Linked DNA regions of Macaca fascicularis. The protein of the gene in region 1 interacts with the protein of each later gene in a pairwise test. Links are inferred from orthologs where the notes say so. Each region holds a gene or a part of one and is shown on either strand. Other genes may lie near its edges.

The links.
Region 2: the proteins of PRKACA (region 1) and PRKAR2B interact in binary tests that used the Homo sapiens proteins (3 or more experiments, as listed by UniProt). The link is inferred for Macaca fascicularis from reciprocal best matches to the Homo sapiens genes PRKACA and PRKAR2B.
Region 3: the proteins of PRKACA (region 1) and PRKAR2A interact in a protein complementation assay, tested with the Homo sapiens proteins (2 studies listed by BioGRID). The link is inferred for Macaca fascicularis from reciprocal best matches to the Homo sapiens genes PRKACA and PRKAR2A.

What each region holds. Positions count from the first base shown.
Region 1 is NC_088393.1:14,510,391-14,512,698, forward strand, and holds the end of PRKACA (cAMP-dependent protein kinase catalytic subunit alpha), read right to left. Parts: intron 2,120-2,308; coding exon 1,994-2,119; 3' UTR 572-1,993; downstream 1-571.
Region 2 is NC_088377.1:148,581,828-148,585,507, reverse strand, and holds the start of PRKAR2B (cAMP-dependent protein kinase type II-beta regulatory subunit), read right to left. Parts: upstream 2,857-3,680; 5' UTR 2,654-2,856; coding exon 2,338-2,653; intron 1-2,337. UniProt on the Homo sapiens protein: Regulatory subunit of the cAMP-dependent protein kinases involved in cAMP signaling in cells. Type II regulatory chains mediate membrane association by binding to anchoring proteins, including the MAP2 kinase.
Region 3 is NC_088376.1:111,815,302-111,819,053, forward strand, and holds the start of PRKAR2A (cAMP-dependent protein kinase type II-alpha regulatory subunit), read right to left. Parts: upstream 2,451-3,752; 5' UTR 2,156-2,450; coding exon 1,894-2,155; intron 1-1,893. UniProt on the Homo sapiens protein: Regulatory subunit of the cAMP-dependent protein kinases involved in cAMP signaling in cells. Type II regulatory chains mediate membrane association by binding to anchoring proteins, including the MAP2 kinase.

The DNA.
Region 1 (2,308 bases):
GGCCGCCCTCCAGCCATTGGGCGCGGGACCCAGACGTCCCCGGCGCCCAGCCCCCCTCTCCACGCCTCCCCGGCGCGCTCCGCTCTCCGGACCGCACTTACCGGGAACTCGCCGCCCGCGGGCCGGGGCTGCCGCGCTCGCAGGGTGCTGCGGGGACCCTCTTGCTGCCGCCGCCCCCGCGTCCCTCAGGCGCGCCTGGCCCGGCGCTAAGGATGCGGGGAGGGGGGCGCGCACCCTCTCCCCCTTCTACTCCCCCTGCCAGGGCCGCCCCCGCCGCCGCTCGGCCTTCTGGCGCGCCGGCCCCAGCGCCTCCCTAGAGCGCCCTCTCGGTCCCGGGCTGGACGCCGAGGGGGCGCGCTGCAGATTTGGGGACCCCGAATCTGGGGTCAGAGGGCAGTTTGACGCTCGTTTCTCCTGCGGGGCCGAAGGAGTGCCGGAATTTCAGCTAAACCCTGTTTACAAGGACTTCAAGCCGGGACCTGATCGGCTTGCACTCTGGGGTCCGAAATTCCCTTTCCAACCCCCTGGGGGTGTGTGGGTGGGTGATCGAAGTCGAGAACACCAGCGACACTTTTTTTTTTAAACAAAACTTTATTGGTAATAGTTTTCAAATATGTTTACAACAGCACACTGTTCAAGAGGAAGTCTCGTCCTTCGCAGCACACAGGTTGAATCGCCCCCGCACCCACCCGGGGCCCCACCCCAGGCCTGAGAACTCCTCCTGGGATGGAGAGAAGTTATGAGAGGGGGAAATACGGGGATGAATAGGGTGGCTCCCCAGCGGCTCCCCACTTTTCTATTACGAGAGAAAAAAGCACAAATGAGACAGTGGGGGAGAGGTGATGGACAGCTGACAGCTAAGCTGGAGGAGGGGCGCCCAGGATGGGGGAGGCGGAAGCTGGTGGGTGAGTAAAACAGGCAGCCCCTCCCCAGCAGCTCTAGCCTTGAACCCCGGGCCATGGCGTTGGGGGACTTGGCCTCTTCTGTTCCCTTTTGCAGGGATGCCCTTCCCATTCAGCTGAGGGAAGACTGGACATTAAAATCTAGCGGAGAATAAAATTAAGGAGTTGGGGGAAACGCTGTTGGGAGGAAAGACTTGGGCTTGGGGCTCCCCCTCTGTCTTTTTGGGGGATGACTCCTCTTTGGCAGGGAGAGGGGCAGCTGCTTTGTCTGGCTCTCAAAGCCCAAGTGTGAAGACAGGTCTATTGGGGAAGAAGAGAGCGGAGGCTTCCTAAAGGGGCCTAGACCCTCGCAGGATTGGCAGAGGATTCCCCGGGGAGGGGCCCAGGGGAGATTAGCAGCGGGGAGGTTCAAACCCCAGCGCCTCCCTTTCCAAAGTCAGTCTGCTTCTCTTTAAAATGGATTTGGGGAATGGGGGGACATGGGAGGGGTGGGAGTACAGGAAGGAGGGAGGCACTGGTGGAACTTAAATAAGATTTTAAATTGTTGTTTTTTAAAAAAAATTCTAGCAAGCAGCCCACTGAACATGTCACTAAAAATCTCTCCTTCCCAGTCAGGATTACTCCGAAAGGAAGGTTGGCGCTTCGTTCATTTGCCCTTAGCAAGTGGGGCCTGTGGTTGGGTGGGATGGGGGTGTGGGTGGGGGATGGAGTTAAGTGTGAGCCCCTCTTTCCACACCCTGTCCCTGGATACACCAGCAAGACCTGGTCTGACTGGAGTTGAGAAACTCGTTTAAAACAGGCAGAAGTAGGCTGGGTGGGGCTGAGGGGCTGGGGGGCTGTGGGGAAGGAGGAAGGGAAAAGTGGGGGAGGGGGCAGGAGGGCAAAGGGGATGAGGGGGAGCAGCTGATATTTCTGTCCCTCTGATTATCTGGGCTTCCTGCTCCCCCTAACCCTGGAGGGTGGGGTGGGGGTGAAATTAGATGCAAGGAACTCTGGGGCCCTCTGGCTGTTCAATCCAACCCTCCCACCCCCCCACCAAAAAAAAAAAAAAAAAAAAAGAAAAGAAAATCCATGGGGGCACAGGCACACCCCTAAAACTCAGAAAACTCCTTGCCACACTTCTCATTGATGGAGACCCGGATTTCTTCTTCCTCATAGTCGTCAAAGTTACTCGTATCCCCAGGGCCTTTAAACTTTGGTATGAAGGGAGCTTCCACCTGGAGAGGGATCAAGAATCACCCAGACCTCAGCATTCAACATAATCATTATTACAACAATAAATGCGAATGGCCTAACATTCAAGAGATATTTACTCTGACTCAGGCCTGTGCTTCCCATTAGGTTATGGATTCCTCTTAACGCCTGAAACTCTTAATGTAGCCAACTCATCAAAGGGGAAATTATTT
Region 2 (3,680 bases), on another chromosome or scaffold:
GGTACTATTTTGACTTTTTTTTTTTCTTCTGATCAGGGGTCAGCAAGCTTTGGCCTTGATATGCGGCTAATTTTCGACAATCCCAACCCTCACAACGCGTATGTGTTTAAAAAAAAAAAAAAAAAGTAATCAAGACCACATGTTGCCCAAAGCCTAAAACGTTTACTATCTGGCCCTTTACAAGAAAAGCTTGCCAACCACTTTGTAGCCTATAATTAAATGTTTTTCAACTGCAGGTCTCAACACAATTTAAAATAGGGAGAAATAATCAATTCAAATAGTAAATATCAAAAAGCACTGCATCTGACAGAAGGTAGTACCTGTACTATTGCCAAAGTTTCAATCAGACACATGTATGTGCCTCCTGGATAATGATCAAATTGTATTTGGTTGCAGTCTAAAAGTTTTAAAGGCCTTGAAGGTGAGGCTGGGGAGTAAATAGTGCAATTGTTTACAAGTTTAACTTGTTTAACTCACATTGAGCAATTTTTACAGCAAAGGTGCCTTGGAGAATATAAAGTCATATAAAGCCCTGCTGTTTTGAAGTTAACGGCTTGTTTCTTCACTACAAAATGAAAATGGAATCTCTTCTGTGCACAATATATTGTTATAAGGAGAAAATGGAATCATCAATGCAAAGTACTTCAACAAATGCATTATACAAACAAAAGATTTTGATTATATTAACAACATATTATACAGAATACATATAAGGTCTTTACCAAGCCCCTGAGTTCCTAGTTTTCTCCAACCTGGGAAAAGAGTCCTTTTTTCCCCCTTTGTGTGTGTGCATGAACATGTGTGCATGCGTCAGGAGCATAAAAGAAGTATTAGATATCTCTGCCCTTTCTATCATCCGTTACTGGCTGCTGCTTCTTACCTATTTAAAACATGCATTCTTCTCTCTTTCTCTTGTTTCTAGAAGGAAAAGCGTTTGATTTGATTCTTGTGCAAAAAGAACTACTAAGACTATGATTATCCTCTTGAGGAAACATTTAAAAGTCCAAAATTAAAATTGTAAGTAACAAGCTTCACTTTTATCTTCATAAAGCACTAATTTCCAGGCTTTCTGGGATTGTTTTGGACAAACTAAAAATACATTAATTTTATAATCCATTTCAACATGTAATCGTGCAAAGAAAAGAAACATCTTCCTAGGAGCATACACAAGGAAATGAAATGACACTTCTAAATGTTTTCATTTTATGAAATACACTGCGGACACACAAACCACAAGCAGTGTAAATAAATAAAAGCTGGTGCAATGCTGCATGCATGTTTGCCTTATATCACAAAGAGAAAACACTTGCACATTGCACTCCATGGTATTTTAGCTTGGGTTGCCATAAAAATGGGATTTGGGTATGTTGTGTAATACAGGGGGCTGTAAATGAGGGTGTGTGTCTGGGTGTGTTAGGGAAAGAGGGTTGTAAGCAGAAGGGGTGGGACTTGCCAGGAGCAGCTATTTGAGAAAATTCCGTTTTCTTTCCCATTCATTCTTCTAGCTCAGTCTATTCTAGCTCAGTCTGGCACAGTCCTTACAATTACTCACTGGCTTTTCATTCTAAAGACAACCAACAAGCTTTCAGAACTTCCTACAGTGTTTTTCTCATACACTTAAAAAAAATAAAACAGCAAATCATTCAATATGTCTTTTATACAAAAAGCAAACCATTAACCCGTTTCCTCATTCCAAAGACCCCCGTGGGTTTCAGACTAAATAGAATCCTTTGTTACGTGTCCAAAAATAACACAACACGGCATTGGTAAATTGGAAAATAACAGATAACTCTTATTTCCAAGAATGTCAGAGCTATTGGCCATAAATTTTGTTCTGCCCCAGTGAGTCCAATTTCATGCTTCTTTTAGTGAATCTACCATCCTAACAACAGTAAAGACAATCATATTAAACATCGTTCGCCTTTTCTCTTTTGACATTCGTTTAATAAATACAAAGGCTGAAAGAAGACGCCAAGTGGGCCAGTTTCTTTATGCACAATGGTATCCTCCAAGCGAAATACCTCCAATCACAGCGAAAGTTGTCTTTCTAGCAGATGCCCACCCCAACCAGCCCAGGCAGAGGGGGCAGACGGGCAGAGGGAAGCGTAACCTCCCAGCTCTCCCACCTCCAGAGGAAGGGAAGAGGGTATGACAGAGAGCGGAGTAGGAAGGTGGGCGAGTGGGAGAGACAGAAATGGATGCTGAGGGGGTGGGCGAGATGGGAAGGTAGGGAAAGGTGGAGAATGCGGGGAGAGGTGGGCGCGCAAAGCGGCAAGATCCGAGAGCCGTGGCAGCAAGGGGATCCCGGGGCGCGAGGGCGGGGGGTCTGGTCCTCACCATTGAACGCCCCTGCGTCTGCGGGCGCCGCCTCCTCCTCCTCTCCGTCCTCGGAGTCGGAGTGCATGGGTTCCTCGGCGAAGTTGACCCCCTTGCTGGGGGTGCCACCCCCGACAGCGGCGGCAGAGGCGCCCGCGTCCCCCCAGGTCCTGCCCTCATGGCCGAAGCGCGCGGTGCCTTTGCGCTCGTTCTCCTGCTGTAGGCGCGTGAAGTGCTGCAGCGCGAACTCCAGCAGGTCCGCGGGCTGGTGCCTCAGCACCTCCACGGTGAAGCCCTGCAGCAGCTCCGTCAGTCCCGCCGGGATCTCGATGCTCATCCTGACTCTGGGGCGGCAGGCGCCTGGGCGCCGCCCTCGCCCCCTCCCCGGCACGGCCTAGGGCCCCGCGGCTGCCGAGCGAGCGCCGACGGCGCTGGCGGCGCTACCGGCTGCGAGCGCGGCGCACTGGGCCCCGGCGGCCCGGCTGGCCCGGCCCGCGGCTCCTGGCGCGCGTCTGCTCCGTGTGGCGGCGGCGGCTGAGCGAGCGCGGCCCCGGGAGGGCTGGCAGCATCTCCTGCTCCTCCCGCTCCCGCCGCGGCCGCGCCTCTCCCTCGCCCGGGCGCCCCGCCCCCGCCCCGCCGCGGTGCGCGGGAGGGGGCGCAGGAGAGCGCGCCCACGTGACCCTCGGAAACCATGGCAACCTCCGCCGGCTGGCGCCGCTCACCAGCCGCTCAGAGCACGGCAGGGTGGAATTCGTTGGCGGGCTGCGCGCCCGGGCTGGGTGAGGCGGAGGGAGGCCCAGCGAGGCCGTCTTGGTGTCCACCTGTCCGCGCGTCCAGGAGCGGGCTGGCCACTCGCCCAGCTTCCCACGCGTCATTCGCCATGGTGAACCCCCGCAGAGGTGGTGCCAAGCGATTTGTCCTGAAACTTCAGCCTCCACCTTAGTAGTGGCATTTTATTTTCCTTCTGGAATCTACTTGCATGATAAGTGTTGTTAATGTCCTTTGTTTAAAGTCTTATGGTGGTACTGTTTCTCTTTTGGACAAAGAAATGCTACCCCATCTTTGTGACGTCTTTCTTTTTCTTCCACCACGTTTTATCTAGCCTTTCCCCATCCATCCTGTTTATTATGTCTTATCTTACTGATGCTATTCCGTTGTGCACTCCACGCATTTACTATTTGTTGAGACAAAGGCGCCATTTATTGTGAGGCACCTATCAAAGTTAGTTGATCTCCTTCAAATAGGATAGTGCAAGATGAGGCGCTTATTATTTTGAAACTTTTCTTTATGCTTTGAGTGATTTTGACTTGTATCTCCAAAAATGGAAATACTTCAGTATAAAGAAAAATAGAATTACGAATGTG
Region 3 (3,752 bases), on another chromosome or scaffold:
TGTTAATTAACTCCTTGCCAGCCGTGACTTGAATACTGGGCCAGACCAGATACAACTCAGACTAGTTGTGTGTGTGTCTGATCTAATAACACTAAGATCCTAACTTGGCCTCTCAAATGGTTTTGTTCAATTTTAGTTGTTCAAAAGTAGGCTAATTCTACTGTTAAATTGACAAAGCATATGTTGAAGCAACCAAGGAAATTGTAATTGCTTCTTAACACTCTTGCTTAGATCAGATGTAGAAAGTGTTATTTTGGCCAGGAGCAGTAGCTCATGCCTGTAATCCCAGCACTTTGGGAGGCCAAGGCAGGAGGATTACTTGAGGGCAAGAGTTCAAGACCAGCCTGGGCAACACAGGGAGACCCGTCTCTATAAAAACTCAAAATTAGTCAGGCATGGTGGCACACCAGGTAATCCCAGCTACTTGAGAGGCCCAGGTGGGAGGATACATTGAGCTTGGGAGGTCGGGGTTGCAGTGAGCCCTGATTGTGCCACTACACCCCAGCCTGGGTGACAGAGCGAGATCCTGACTTTAAAAAAAAAAAAAAAAAAAAGGTGTGATGATCTTGGATCACCAAATCAGTGAGGGAGGGACAGTCTCTAACTTGTTTTCTGCTCGGTCCTTATTGCATACTCTTGGAGAAGGTTTACTGACTATTACTAAATGATAAATCTCGATACAGCAAGCAGAGCCAGTGAAGCTGCTCTCCTGATCTCAGTCTCTGCTGGGATCCTTTCCTTTAAAGCTACAACCCACCCACTAAACAAGAAAATAACTATTGGGTTTTTCCTTTTTCTTTTTTTTTGAGACGGAGTTGGCTCTGCGGCCCAGGATGGAGTACAGTGGCATGATCTTGGCTCACTGCAACCTCCGCCTCCCAGGTGCAAGCGATTCTCCCCACCTCAGCCTCCCAAGTAGGTGGGACTACAGGCGCCCACGACAACGCCCGGCTAATTTTTGTATTTTTAGTAGAGACGGGGTTTCGCCATGTTGGCCAGGCTGGTCTCGAACTCCTGACCTCAGGTGATCCACCCGCTTCGGCCTCCCAAAGTGCTGGGATTACAGGCGTGACCCACCACGCCCGGCCAGGTTTTTCCTTTTTAAAAATGACATAGGGTGTCTATTTTGCCCAGGCTGGTCTCGAACTCTTGGACTCAAGCGATATTTCCTCCTCAGCCTCCAGAGTAGCTGGGACTATAGGGACCCACTGCCACAGCCGGCAAGATAATTACTTACTCTCACCAAATTTGATTCAATCGTTTTGGCCAAATTTTTAAAAATAGGAATATTCCGAGGGACCACGTTTGAAGAAATACAAACTCAAGCAAGCAGAGGTGAAATGACCTGAGAGATTTGCTTTAATACACTTCGGCGAAGAAAAAAGGGTATGGATGAAACTTTGTGACAAATACAACTGTTAAATGTAGGTGATGGCATATAGGGATTCATCTCACCTTTCCTCTTCTGTCTATGCTTAAAAGTTTTCACAGTAACTTTTCAAAAAAAATTATTATTTCCAAACAAACTTACTGTCCTTTCAATTAAACACGAGTCACTGGATGTGAACGCTCTTGTCTTCGGAGTCAAACCTGGTGAAGGATCTCAAGCAAAGGTGAGGGATCCTCTCTCTGGCAGGGCCGACAGCGCGCAAGTTTCCTTCAAGGCTGAATCTGACAAATCACTGGGTGCGCTCTAGGGCTCGCAGGACCGCGGAGCTCAATTTGGAAGTGGCGCACGCGGGCTCACGGCGGTGTCTCAGGAAAACGCTAGAAACGCGGCTACAGAGCTCCCAATCCCAGCCTGCGGTCGGCTTGGCCCCGGCGCGACACCCGGCTCCCTGCCACCCCTCGAGACCTCCTGCACCACTCCCCAGGGCCCCGCCCACAGCCTACCTTCCAAGTCCTCGTCCTCCTCCGACTCGCTGTCCCCTTTGGCGTCGGCGACACGGTCCGGGCCAGGTTCTGGCGGGGGGTGGCCCGGGCTCTGGCGTGGGGTGGCGGCGGGCAGGACTGAAGCTGGGGCGCGGGCCTCGCGCAGGCGGGTAAAGTAGTCCACAGCGAATTCGACGAGGTCAGGCGGCTGCTGTCGCAGCACCTCCACCGTGTAGCCCTGCAGCAGCTCCGTGAGCCCCGGCGGGATCTGGATGTGGCTCATGCCGGCGGCGGCCGAGGGGATAGACGGGTTGGGCCGCCGGCGGCCACTGTCTCCGCGCTCACTCACGCCGGCCTTTCGCTCCGCGCCCGCGAGGTCTCTTCCCGCGCGGCCCCGGCTCGGCCTTCCTCACGTCGCGCCGCTCTTTGGCCGGCTCTGAGATTCCAGGCCGCGCAACCCTACGCTACCACGGCCGGCCTGGCACCGCCGCCGCTGTCACTGGGCAGCCGCCGCCGCCGCGGGGACCGACGGGGAGGCGAGCTGGACCGGCGGGGCAGGCGTCCTGGTTGTGACGCACGCGACCGCGGGCGTGCGCGTCCCCGCGTAGCATCGGCCCTCAGTGCGCTTGCGCCACTAGGTGACACGCCCCTCAGGCTGTCGGGGGGTCGAGACAGTGGACGGTTCCTAATGCCGGCTCATGGCGGGAATCCGGGGAATTAGGTAATGAATGGTCTACCCATGAAGGGGACCGATTAGTGCCTCTCGCCTGGTCCTGAAGACCTTTACATTATTCTTTCAGCTGATGCCAAGAGCCTCCTTTTGGCCGGCACTTAGCACCAGAGACACAGCGAGAAGCAGAAACATACGAGCACCTCAGTGTGGTTCTTCTCTGATGAAGGGCAAGAGAGGGCTCACTTTCGGGAGTGACATTCAAGCTGGACGCGAGGTCTGAGCAGAACCCGCCTAGGGGAAGATCTGGAGGAAAGCCATCTGAACATACAACAAGAGCAAAGGCCTGGTGGAGTCAGGACCACCTTGGCTGCCAGGTGGAATGGTGGAATAACTCAGGAGTCTGGCAGGTCTCTGAGATGTCACACGGGGAAGGCCTTGTAGGAAGTAGGCGTTTGAAAGAGATCATAATTTGAGAGCCACAGGCAGAAAAATAAATTTGAAAGAGTTCAGTCTGCCAAATGTGTACAGTGAGAAAGGGAAATAAGGCCAAAAGCAGCAAAGACCTCTGTGCCTGTTCTTCCTGGAGCACTTTGACCAGGGTCCCCAGATCTAGGTCTGCCCACTCCTCTCCCCACATTCTACACTGGGCCCTAGGCCAACACTGCTTGATGAAGTTGAGCAGACCACAGGCATTGTTATCCTTTGCCCCTAGGAAGATGGTATAGGTGAACTGTAGAAGCCAGACTATTTCCTAAATTGCCCTCCTCCTCCTACCAAACTGGAAAGGTTTTGAAAAAGGTGGAGACCTTCCTGGGATGTCCAGGCCACAGCCTACATGCTAACCAAAGGCCCACTGGGCATAGGGCAGAGTCCCCCCTCTCCTTTCCAGGCCCAGCCAGGAAGAGAGTAGCTGTAGGTTTGGGAACCTGAAGGGCATTTGGGATGCTTAAACACCACATGGTAATTACCCCGTATTAATTAAAATCCTCCCTAGCACCTCCCATACAGGCTTGGCACACACCCAGGAGCTCAATGCTACTGGGAGCTGAGCAGCTGGGAGCAAGGAGCACCTCATCCCCGCTGATGAAGAGGCCAGCCCAGGCTCTAGGCTAAGCAGGCCTGTGATTATAAACAGCAGTGTCTCCCTGGACAAGTTTCTTTTTTTTTTTTTTTTTTTTTTGAGACGGAGTCTCGCTCTGTCACCCGG